2 linked regions of the Danio rerio genome follow. Each later gene encodes a partner of the first gene's protein in a complex. Links are inferred from orthologs where the notes say so. Each region holds a gene or a part of one and is shown on either strand. Other genes may lie near its edges.

Region 1 (4,579 bases):
CTTGCTCTTTCTGTGAAACCTCTTCTGAATCTGTTGCTCACTTGTTTCGGGAGTGTCCCTCTGTTAAATCTTTTTGGTCTAATGTAAACTCTCTAATTATCCAAAAGGTTTGTGGAGATTTTTCTTTAAGCTATAGACATATTATTTTGTGGTTTTATATTAAAGGAAAAGAATTCCTTAATTCAACTTTTTGCATAAACCACATTTTATTTATTGGAAAGTTTTTTATACACAAATGCAAATATACTCATTGTAAGCCTATTTTTTTTTTTTTTTTTAAACGAGAACTAGCTCTTTATTTAAAAAAAAACCCATCACAGACTCTCACAATAAGAAAGCTATTAAAACTTATAAAATATGTGCTTTATTTAATATCCTGCAATAATTTGTTTAATCTTTGTCATGTGCCCTTAATTATTATTATTATTTCTCTCTCTCTCTCTCTCTCTCTCTCTCTCTCTCTCTCTCTCTCTCTCTCTCTCGTTGTCTTTATTTTGATTTACCTATATTATATTTGTTCTAAATTTGTTACATTCCACTTTTTCAAAAAGTAATATTTCTATTGATTGTACCATACTTTCAGTTTTGTATCTGTATTTGTTGTAAAGTACTGTTATTATTGCAAAAAAAAAAAAAAAAAAAAAGCATGATGTTTCTTAAAGGTTTTTCATAAAGGTTTCCTAAAGGTTTTTCATACATATATATATATACATATATATACATATATATACATACATATATATACATACATATATACATTCCATATATACATACATACACACACTAGATATCGCATAGGGACCCTGAGCATGCGTCAATAGCGCCGCCACATTGGTACAGTGCTCCCAGTACAAATGTCATTCAACCGCACTAGTCAAGTCAGTGTTATTACGTGAAGATGCGGGACTTTAGCGAGCAAAACAGAAAACAAAGCACAAAGGCAGAACATTCCATAGGTAATAAAAAGTTTTTTCTGTTTTTGTATGTTCTGAACTTTTGTGCTAATCAGGTAACGTTATTGATGAAAACAGTGACTTACTGCATTCACCATAAGGCAAAGCAGCTCCAACTCGCTCCCGCTCCGTCAGTATGAGAAGTGAAAGCAGGAGAGGAGCTGTGTTTCAGGACATGATTAGATCAAATTTAACAGGGAGGGTGGATAGTACATTTCTGTACACACAAACACAAGCTTTTTGTCAGGAATGTGATGTAAAATTATAATTTTCGTAATTAGAAAAAAAAAATTACATACAACATCCAGGAAAACTCCCGATCATAGATATATGTGTATATCTCTGGCTTTGGATGGCCACAGTCCTCCACTGTACCTTGGTCCTGCATTCATTTCAAAGGAGCGCTACCCTGTAGCAAGATGGCGGCGCTATTGACGCATTCCGTCCAATAGACAACAATAGGCCAGGCGACATCTAATGTATATATCTATGAAGGTTTTTAACGGGTTTTTGGGGCGGAACTGACGTGCCAGTGTGGAGACGGAAGACACGTGACACGATTGGGAGTGCTGTCATGTGATGGTTTCTGCGTTTGCAGCAAATCTCTTCACAGCCAAGAGGCAAACACAACCTCAAAAACGCTCCTGAGACGAATAAAAAACCCAAATTCAGGATACTGAACCCGCTGGGCGGCCATCATGGGGTGCTGTTTCAGCAGCGACAGCGAGACGACGGATCCGGTAACTCAAAACACTAATAATGCAGCTTAATGTAGCGTCTGTAGTCCTGCAACAACATTTACTAACGACACACTTTCAATACAGTTGTGTGTTTGTGATTCAAGAACAGCTCAATACTGAGTGCTTGTCAAAACTACAACAAACTTAATCCACTAACGCTACTTTATTTATGTATATTTGATCATTAACGTGTGTTTGTAATGAACTGAAGCTGGTGTTTCGGTGGAGTTAGTCTTAAATTGGGAGTTTTGTGTTGGATGTGGGTCTAATGTGTCAGATCTGACATGTGCTAATGCTAATGTTTGGGGAAATGTAGTGTTAGGGTTTCCACAATGATGGAAAAGTTAAATATATTAGTGCATTTTAGGCCTGGGAGTTTTTATAACAGTTGTACGAAAATATGGGGAGTATTTATGATTTTATTGAGTGAAAAAGAAAAAAAATTAAGCCAATCGTGAAAAGGTTTATTAAATTAAAATGTGCAAATTTTGTTGGATTTACACTAAAAGTTAGTTTTATGCTGTCCAATGCTGAAAAATAACTTAAAATACCAATAATAATGCAGCTTAATGTAGTGTCTGTAGTCCTGCAACAACATTTACTTACGACACACTTTTAATACAGTTGTGTGTTTGTGATTCAAGAACAGCTCAATACTGAGTGTTTGTCAAAACTACAACAAACTTAATCCACTAACGCTACTTTATTTATGTATATTATATCATAAGCGTGTGTTTGTAATGAACTGAAGCTGGTGTTTCGGTGGAAATAGTCTTAAATTGAGAGTTTTGTGTTGGATTTGGATCTAATGTGTCAGATCTGACATGTGCTAATGCTAATGTTTGGGGAAATGTAGTGTTAGGGTTTCCACAATGATGGAATAGTTAAATATATTAGTGCAGTAATTCTCAAACTTTTTTCATCAAGTACCACCTCAGAAAAGATTGTTCCTCCAAGTACCACCATAATGACCGGTATTGAAATACAGTAGCGTAGTAGGCCCAGTAAAACAGCTGCAGCTCTGCACAGTTTAATAACGTGGTAAAATAACTACTACTATTAAGGATATTTATTATTATAAGCCACTTTAAACATTATAAATAGTAACATTAAGACTGTACTCTGCTTATATGTAAACAAACAAACAAAAAAATTAATGTTAACGTTTAAATTAATGTGCTTTTAAAGGTTTAATAAAAATGGTAGGTTACTGTCCTTAAATAGAAAAAAACTGCTGTACTTAAATGTAAAGTCCTATTTATCAAAACCTGGAAATGTTGCTTGGACCTCATAAATAGGCTATATGTCATCATATTCATATTCAAACCATTTTTGATAAATTTTGAAATATATGTTGCTTGTACGTGACATGTAGGATTCCTCTGCGTACCATTAGAAGGAAGCCTGCGTACCGCTAGTGGTACACGTACCACAGTTTGAGAACCACTGTATTAGTGGATTTTAGGCCTGGGAGTTTTTATAATAGTTGTACGAAAATATGAGGAGTATTTCTGATTTTAGTGAGCTAAAAAAAAAAAATTAATTAAGCCAATCGTGAAAAGGTTTTTAAATTAAAATGTGCAAATTTTGTTGGATTTACACTAAAAGTTAGTTTTATGCTGTCCAATGCTGAAAAATAACTTAAAATACCAATAATAATGCAGCTTAATGTAGCGTCTGTAGTTCTGCAACAACATTTACTTACGACACACTTTTAATACAGTTTAATGCAGTTATGATTTTAGTTGGTTTTAAATAATAAACTGAAGCCAAACGTGAAAATGTTTTAAATTAAAATGTCTAAATATTGTAGGGTTTGCACTAAAAGTTGGTGTTATGCTGTCCAGTACAGACAAATACCCAAAACACTAATAATGCAGCTTAATGTAGCGTCTGTAGTCCTGCAACAACATTTACTTACGACACATTTTTAATACAGTTGTGTGTTTATGATTCAAGAACAGCTCAATGCTGAGTGTTTGTCAAAACTGCGTCAAAATTATTCCAGTTACGCTACTTTTTTTATGTATATTTGATCATCAACGTGTGTTTTTTTAATGAACTAAAGCTGGTGTTTCTGTGGGATTTGTCGTAAATTGTGTTGGATTTGGATCTAATGTGTCAGATCTGACATGTCCTAATGTTAATGTTTGGGGATATGTAGTATTAAGGGTTTTCTCAATGATGGAAAAGTTGAATGTATTAGTGGATTTTCAGGTCTGGGAGTATTTATAACAGTTGTACGAAAGTATGAGGAGTATTTATGATTTATTTTTATATTGGGATATCGCCCACTCTTTTTTTCTATTTTTATTTAATTTAATTATTTTTCCTGGTCATTGCGCCTTTGCTGTGTACTGTGTAAATGCAGACAATCGGATACGAGTCCCTTTTAATTAATGATGTAAGCAGGTCATCAAAAAAATCAGATACAGTCACAAAATCGCAATTGACCATCAAGATCTGCAGCGTGAATGCAGCCTGTTAGCTTACATGAAAATAAAGTGGTCTTTCTGGGTGTTTGAACAGGATGTGTTGATGTTTTGGTCCTGCAGGATGGAGATGAGGTGAAGCCACTGATTCCTGACCCAAACCAAGAAAGAAAACCCACTAATGGCTCAGAGCGAAATGCAGACAATCTGCCGTCCAACCGCACAGACGAACAAGCCCTGCTCACGGTCATCCTGCAGCGGACGGCACTGTACGACACGCTGCTTTACTTTGACTACTTTTCTCTGGCTAACGAGTCCTCGATTATCCTTTAGTTTGGTCCCACTTTATATGGATTTCATTTCTTTAGATTACAACAAATGTTTCTTTGAATTTTAACTTGATTTTCTTTCAATTATTAGTCACTTTCTTTTGTAACTAGCTTTTTCTTTTGGT
Region 2 (4,493 bases), on another chromosome or scaffold:
ATTCAATAATCAAATGTGCATAGTATTTTATTTAATACATTACTGTTAATGCAATTATTCAAAGACGTGCACCTGCAAAAAGCATTCAGTGCACTCTCTTTCACTACAAGCTCTCACACTTTACATTAAAAATGAAACATGAAATCCATAATGAAAGTTGCAATTATAACACCATAATTATATATTGATGGAAAGAAACTGCTTCCTTGGCTAATACATCATTTCTGCATAAAATATGATGCAATGAATCCTTTAATCTATAGCTTAATGGATTATTGGAGTTAAATGTTAATGCAAATCTATAATGATGTCCAGCAATACTATAATTGTGACCACTCAAGTATGAAAGGGACTAAAATATAAAAACAATTTAATCCTGTATCCAAAAAAAAGAAATCAGATGAACCATGTAACATCATAATCTAATAAGAGAAACACATGAACTTACTTTGGCTCAGGTCAAATACACCTGACATCACCAAAAGGCCCCCAAAACATTGCAAAATTTCACCTTAAGAAAGAAAGAGAGTGTGATTGTGCTAAACATCGGGTGGTTGTAAAGACGGGGTCATTTTTATGTGAGGGCACCATTTTGAGCTTGTAATAGTGGGAAAGATCAGTCCATATTATCCTCTTTACTACACGATAACAGGCTCCCGCTGGTTGTTCTGCCTTTTCACTACGAAAACCTTCTGTCCGGAGATGGTCACAGCATAGACGTAGTCTTCAAACATCACTGACATCAGACAAAAAAGGAAAGAAAAAAATATACATTAATATCAGTATTTGTTTGGAAGTTATGGATTTTCACAGCAAGTAAAAATGATTTACTGTAAAATAGTAAATGATCATATATCAATTATTTCTTATTGAATAAATTTAATTAAAACAACAAATTAAAGAGGGTTATTTTATTTTATTAGGGCTATTTTGTTCCTAAACAAAATCAAGAGGATAAAAAAAGACTTAAAATGGTTACACATGAAACCATAAAAACTAATAAAACCTTTTTTTTTTTAAACAGACCTATTTAAAAACACAACTGATAGAAATACATAACAAAATTGCTTAAACTTTAAATAGAAAAAACACAAAATGTAAAGATAAAAACTATTTCAAACTGTAAAAATATCTGGATAATACTTAAACCTAATGTTACAAATAAACACTAATACTACAGTGATATCTGAATATTACATAAACCTGATGTTACACAAGCATGTTTACTTTAATAATTCACATCACATTTTTTGAAAATTAAATGACAAAATATGAGTGAAATATTGTTCTATCATCATTCAGCATTTATCTAAAAATGAAGTGCGTTTCTTACCAGACATGCGCTTGAATGGGGGCTCTGCAGTCCCATGTAATCTGAAGCGACAAGCTGTTCGGACCATCTGCATGATCACTCCTGCTGTGTGCTCGTCATTCTCCAGCTCTCCTGCCGACTGTAGATTACAAAAAACATTCACTTACTGCTTAACTGAGACAAGTGGAGTCATTATTAATCCCCCTATGATATTTTCTTTTTTAAATATTTCCCAAATTATGTTTAATAGAGCAAGGACATTTTCACATTATTTCATATAATATTGTTTCCTCTGGAGAAAGTCTTATTTGTTTTATTTTGGCCAGAATAAAAGCAGCTTTTCATACCATTTTAACTCAATTATTATTACCCCCCCCCCCCCAAGCAATATATTTTTTTAACTTGTCTACAGAACAAATTATTGTTAATTAAATTACTAATTAAACTAAGTATCTTCCTTAACCTAATTAACCCAATTAAGCCTTTAAATTGAACTTGAAGCTGAATACTATTATCCTGAAAAATATGTAGTAAAATAGTATGTACTGTCATCATGGCGAAGATAAAAGAAATTCATTAGTTATTCAATCTATTATGTTTAGAAAAGTGTTGAAAAAAAATCTCTCTGTAAAACAGAAATTGGGGAAAAATATAAAAGATTTAAAATTAAACAGCAAGGCTAATAATTCTGACTCAACTGTAAATGATAAATTGATTATATGATTAAAACATAGAACCTATCGAATATATAGAAAGAGACAGAGAGAGAGATAACCCCTTGAGCCAGGTGTGTCCAACAGACAGACAGACAGACAGACAGACAGATAGATAGATACAGTTAAAGGCACAATTATTGGCAATAAATAAATATTTTCCTTTTTTAATTTATTTTCATGAAGGCTGTTCAAAAGGAAGAAGATTTCTCAACACATTTTTAAAAATAATAGTTGTAATATATATATTTTTTAACAGAATCTGTCTTTGCCATGATAACACTGCATAATATTTTGCTAGTTATTTTACAAGATATTAGAATTCATCTTAATGAGTAACTTAAAGGCTTAACTTGGTTAATAAGTTTAACTAGGCAAGTCATTGAATACCATTATTTTGTTCTAAGGGCCTATTAACCTATTAAAATTGTTATTTTTTTATTTAAAAACTGCTTTTATTCCAGACAAAATAAAAGAAATAAAAAATTTTCTCAAGAATAAAAATATTATAGAAAATACTGTGAAAATGTCATTGCTCAGTTCATCATAACTTGGGAATTTTTTTTTAAATAATATGTATCAGTAGAGGCGTAATAATTTTGCCTCAAAGTGTAGACAGGCAAACAGAGACAGACAGAACAATAAGACTGACAGACATTGAATTCTAATTAATTATTTCTCATTTGCCCAAATCAGGATTCTCTTTTCAACGCATTTCACCCTCATGTCAAGTTCTCCGAAAATGTAAGTTATGAATTTTAACAGCTTACCGCGAGTACTCCGTCTTCACTAATAACCAAGTACCCAAGTTGATCGGGTATTCTCTCCAAGCCTTGAGTCAAAGCAGTAGTCTGACATTCAACACACGATAATACTGTAATTAAACACTAACAGAGCTCATATGATATTAGACTGCATCATCAATCACATTATTTACAAAATCTTTGTTTTATAAGTTCTAAATGCACTAAAACAAAACATTTAATAAAAAAAACATTTAATTAAACAAATATTTTAAAGGTAAGAATTATATTTACCATTTTAGACAGTGCAGATAAATGTACACTGCTGTTTTCCTTCACACCCCGCCTCACGTGACTGACATCAAGCGTCGCGTGTTTATAACGTCATTCCAGGAGATGTTTTGCTTATTCGACATTATTTTTGTTTATATGCATTGGAAACGTACAAAATGTGATAAAAAATCTTAGTATGACTAAAACGTGGCGGATTTTTATTTAATTTGCTAGGATTTATGCGCTGTTCTCGCATTTAACAAAAAATAATCTGTATCAGGATCAGATTCGCTGTCATAATCACCGCACACAGGTCGGTCGTTAACGCGAGCAGCACAGATCTCAGATCAGCTAAATAAGGCGCTTACGCGACTACGCAAAGCGGAAGTGAAGTGGTCAGCTGATTAAAGCATATGATCCTGCTGAACGGAAAACATTTCGTCCATTCTGCGTCTTTTATTTGAGCAAAATATAAGACAAAGTCACGATGCCCGGACGAGGAAAATTAATCGCAGTTATCGGTGATGAAGACACGTGCACCGGATTTCTCCTCGGAGGGATCGGAGAGCTCAATAAAAACCGTAAACCCAATTTCTTGGTGGTGGAGAAGGAAACCAGCGTTACAGAGATAGAGGAGACCTTCAAGTAAGTGACACGATCCTAAATGTCTGAATGACTCAACATCATATATTACAATCTAATTATCAAATATGTGTCATTACAAATATATGGATGAAGACTTGCTTTTTAAAAAAATATTTATGTTTATCTATCTATCTATCTATCTATCTATCTATCTATCTATCTATCTATCTATCTATCTATCTATCTATCTATCATATCAGCCAAATATTTTAGAAAAAACATTTATATATAAATTATTTTTATGTAGTAATAATTACCTAAATTTGTCAAGAAACCCACTTAAATGTCTTTTAGTTTAACAATATTTTATATACACCAGTAAACTGTCAATCATATTTGCAAGAAACTATTAAAGACATATCAAACTATTAATATTATGAATTACAGTGCAGCCCCTATTGACAATTGTCATTTAAATATCCTTTGTCACTATTCTTCAAACTACTGATCAATTTTGAATAATTTAAATATAAGAACATGTTTGTCTGATCTCTTCTTATTCTGACGATAGATCATTTTGAGGAATGTAAACAAAAACAAATGTTCCAACGTATTTTCTGTTTTACATTTTTAATTTTTATAGCTTACGAGAATCTAAAAAGAGCCTGCTTATTGATAAATAATGTTATGATAGCTTTTTTAGAATTAAGTTATTATTCAATTGTTTCTTTGATATCAAGCATAGGCCAATGTCATCACCACAATGAAATGGTCTATATGAATAAGTACAAGTCCAAGTCAATATGTAGTTTGGTATTTACATAAATATGCAATAATGTCTGATTTTGATTATAATTTCACCCATGC

What was found.
Region 2: lamtor1 (region 1) and lamtor4 share a complex: the UniProt entries of both Homo sapiens proteins name them as parts of the ragulator complex. The link is inferred for Danio rerio from reciprocal best matches to the Homo sapiens genes LAMTOR1 and LAMTOR4.

What each region holds. Positions count from the first base shown.
Region 1 is NC_133190.1:46,802,425-46,807,003, reverse strand, and holds the start of lamtor1 (ragulator complex protein LAMTOR1), read left to right. Parts: upstream 1-1,468; 5' UTR 1,469-1,651; coding exon 1,652-1,693; intron 1,694-4,248; coding exon 4,249-4,394; intron 4,395-4,579. UniProt on the Homo sapiens protein: Key component of the Ragulator complex, a multiprotein complex involved in amino acid sensing and activation of mTORC1, a signaling complex promoting cell growth in response to growth factors, energy levels, and amino acids.
Region 2 is NC_133179.1:20,644,554-20,649,046, reverse strand, and holds lamtor4 (ragulator complex protein LAMTOR4), read right to left. Parts: upstream 3,126-4,493; 5' UTR 3,066-3,125; coding exon 3,063-3,065; intron 2,913-3,062; coding exon of another isoform or gene 2,877-2,912; coding exon 2,796-2,876; intron 1,452-2,795; coding exon 1,334-1,451; intron 737-1,333; coding exon 639-736; 3' UTR 5-638; downstream 1-4. Other genes in the region: atp6v1f (V-type proton ATPase subunit F), read left to right, coding at 3,529-3,686. UniProt on the Homo sapiens protein: As part of the Ragulator complex it is involved in amino acid sensing and activation of mTORC1, a signaling complex promoting cell growth in response to growth factors, energy levels, and amino acids.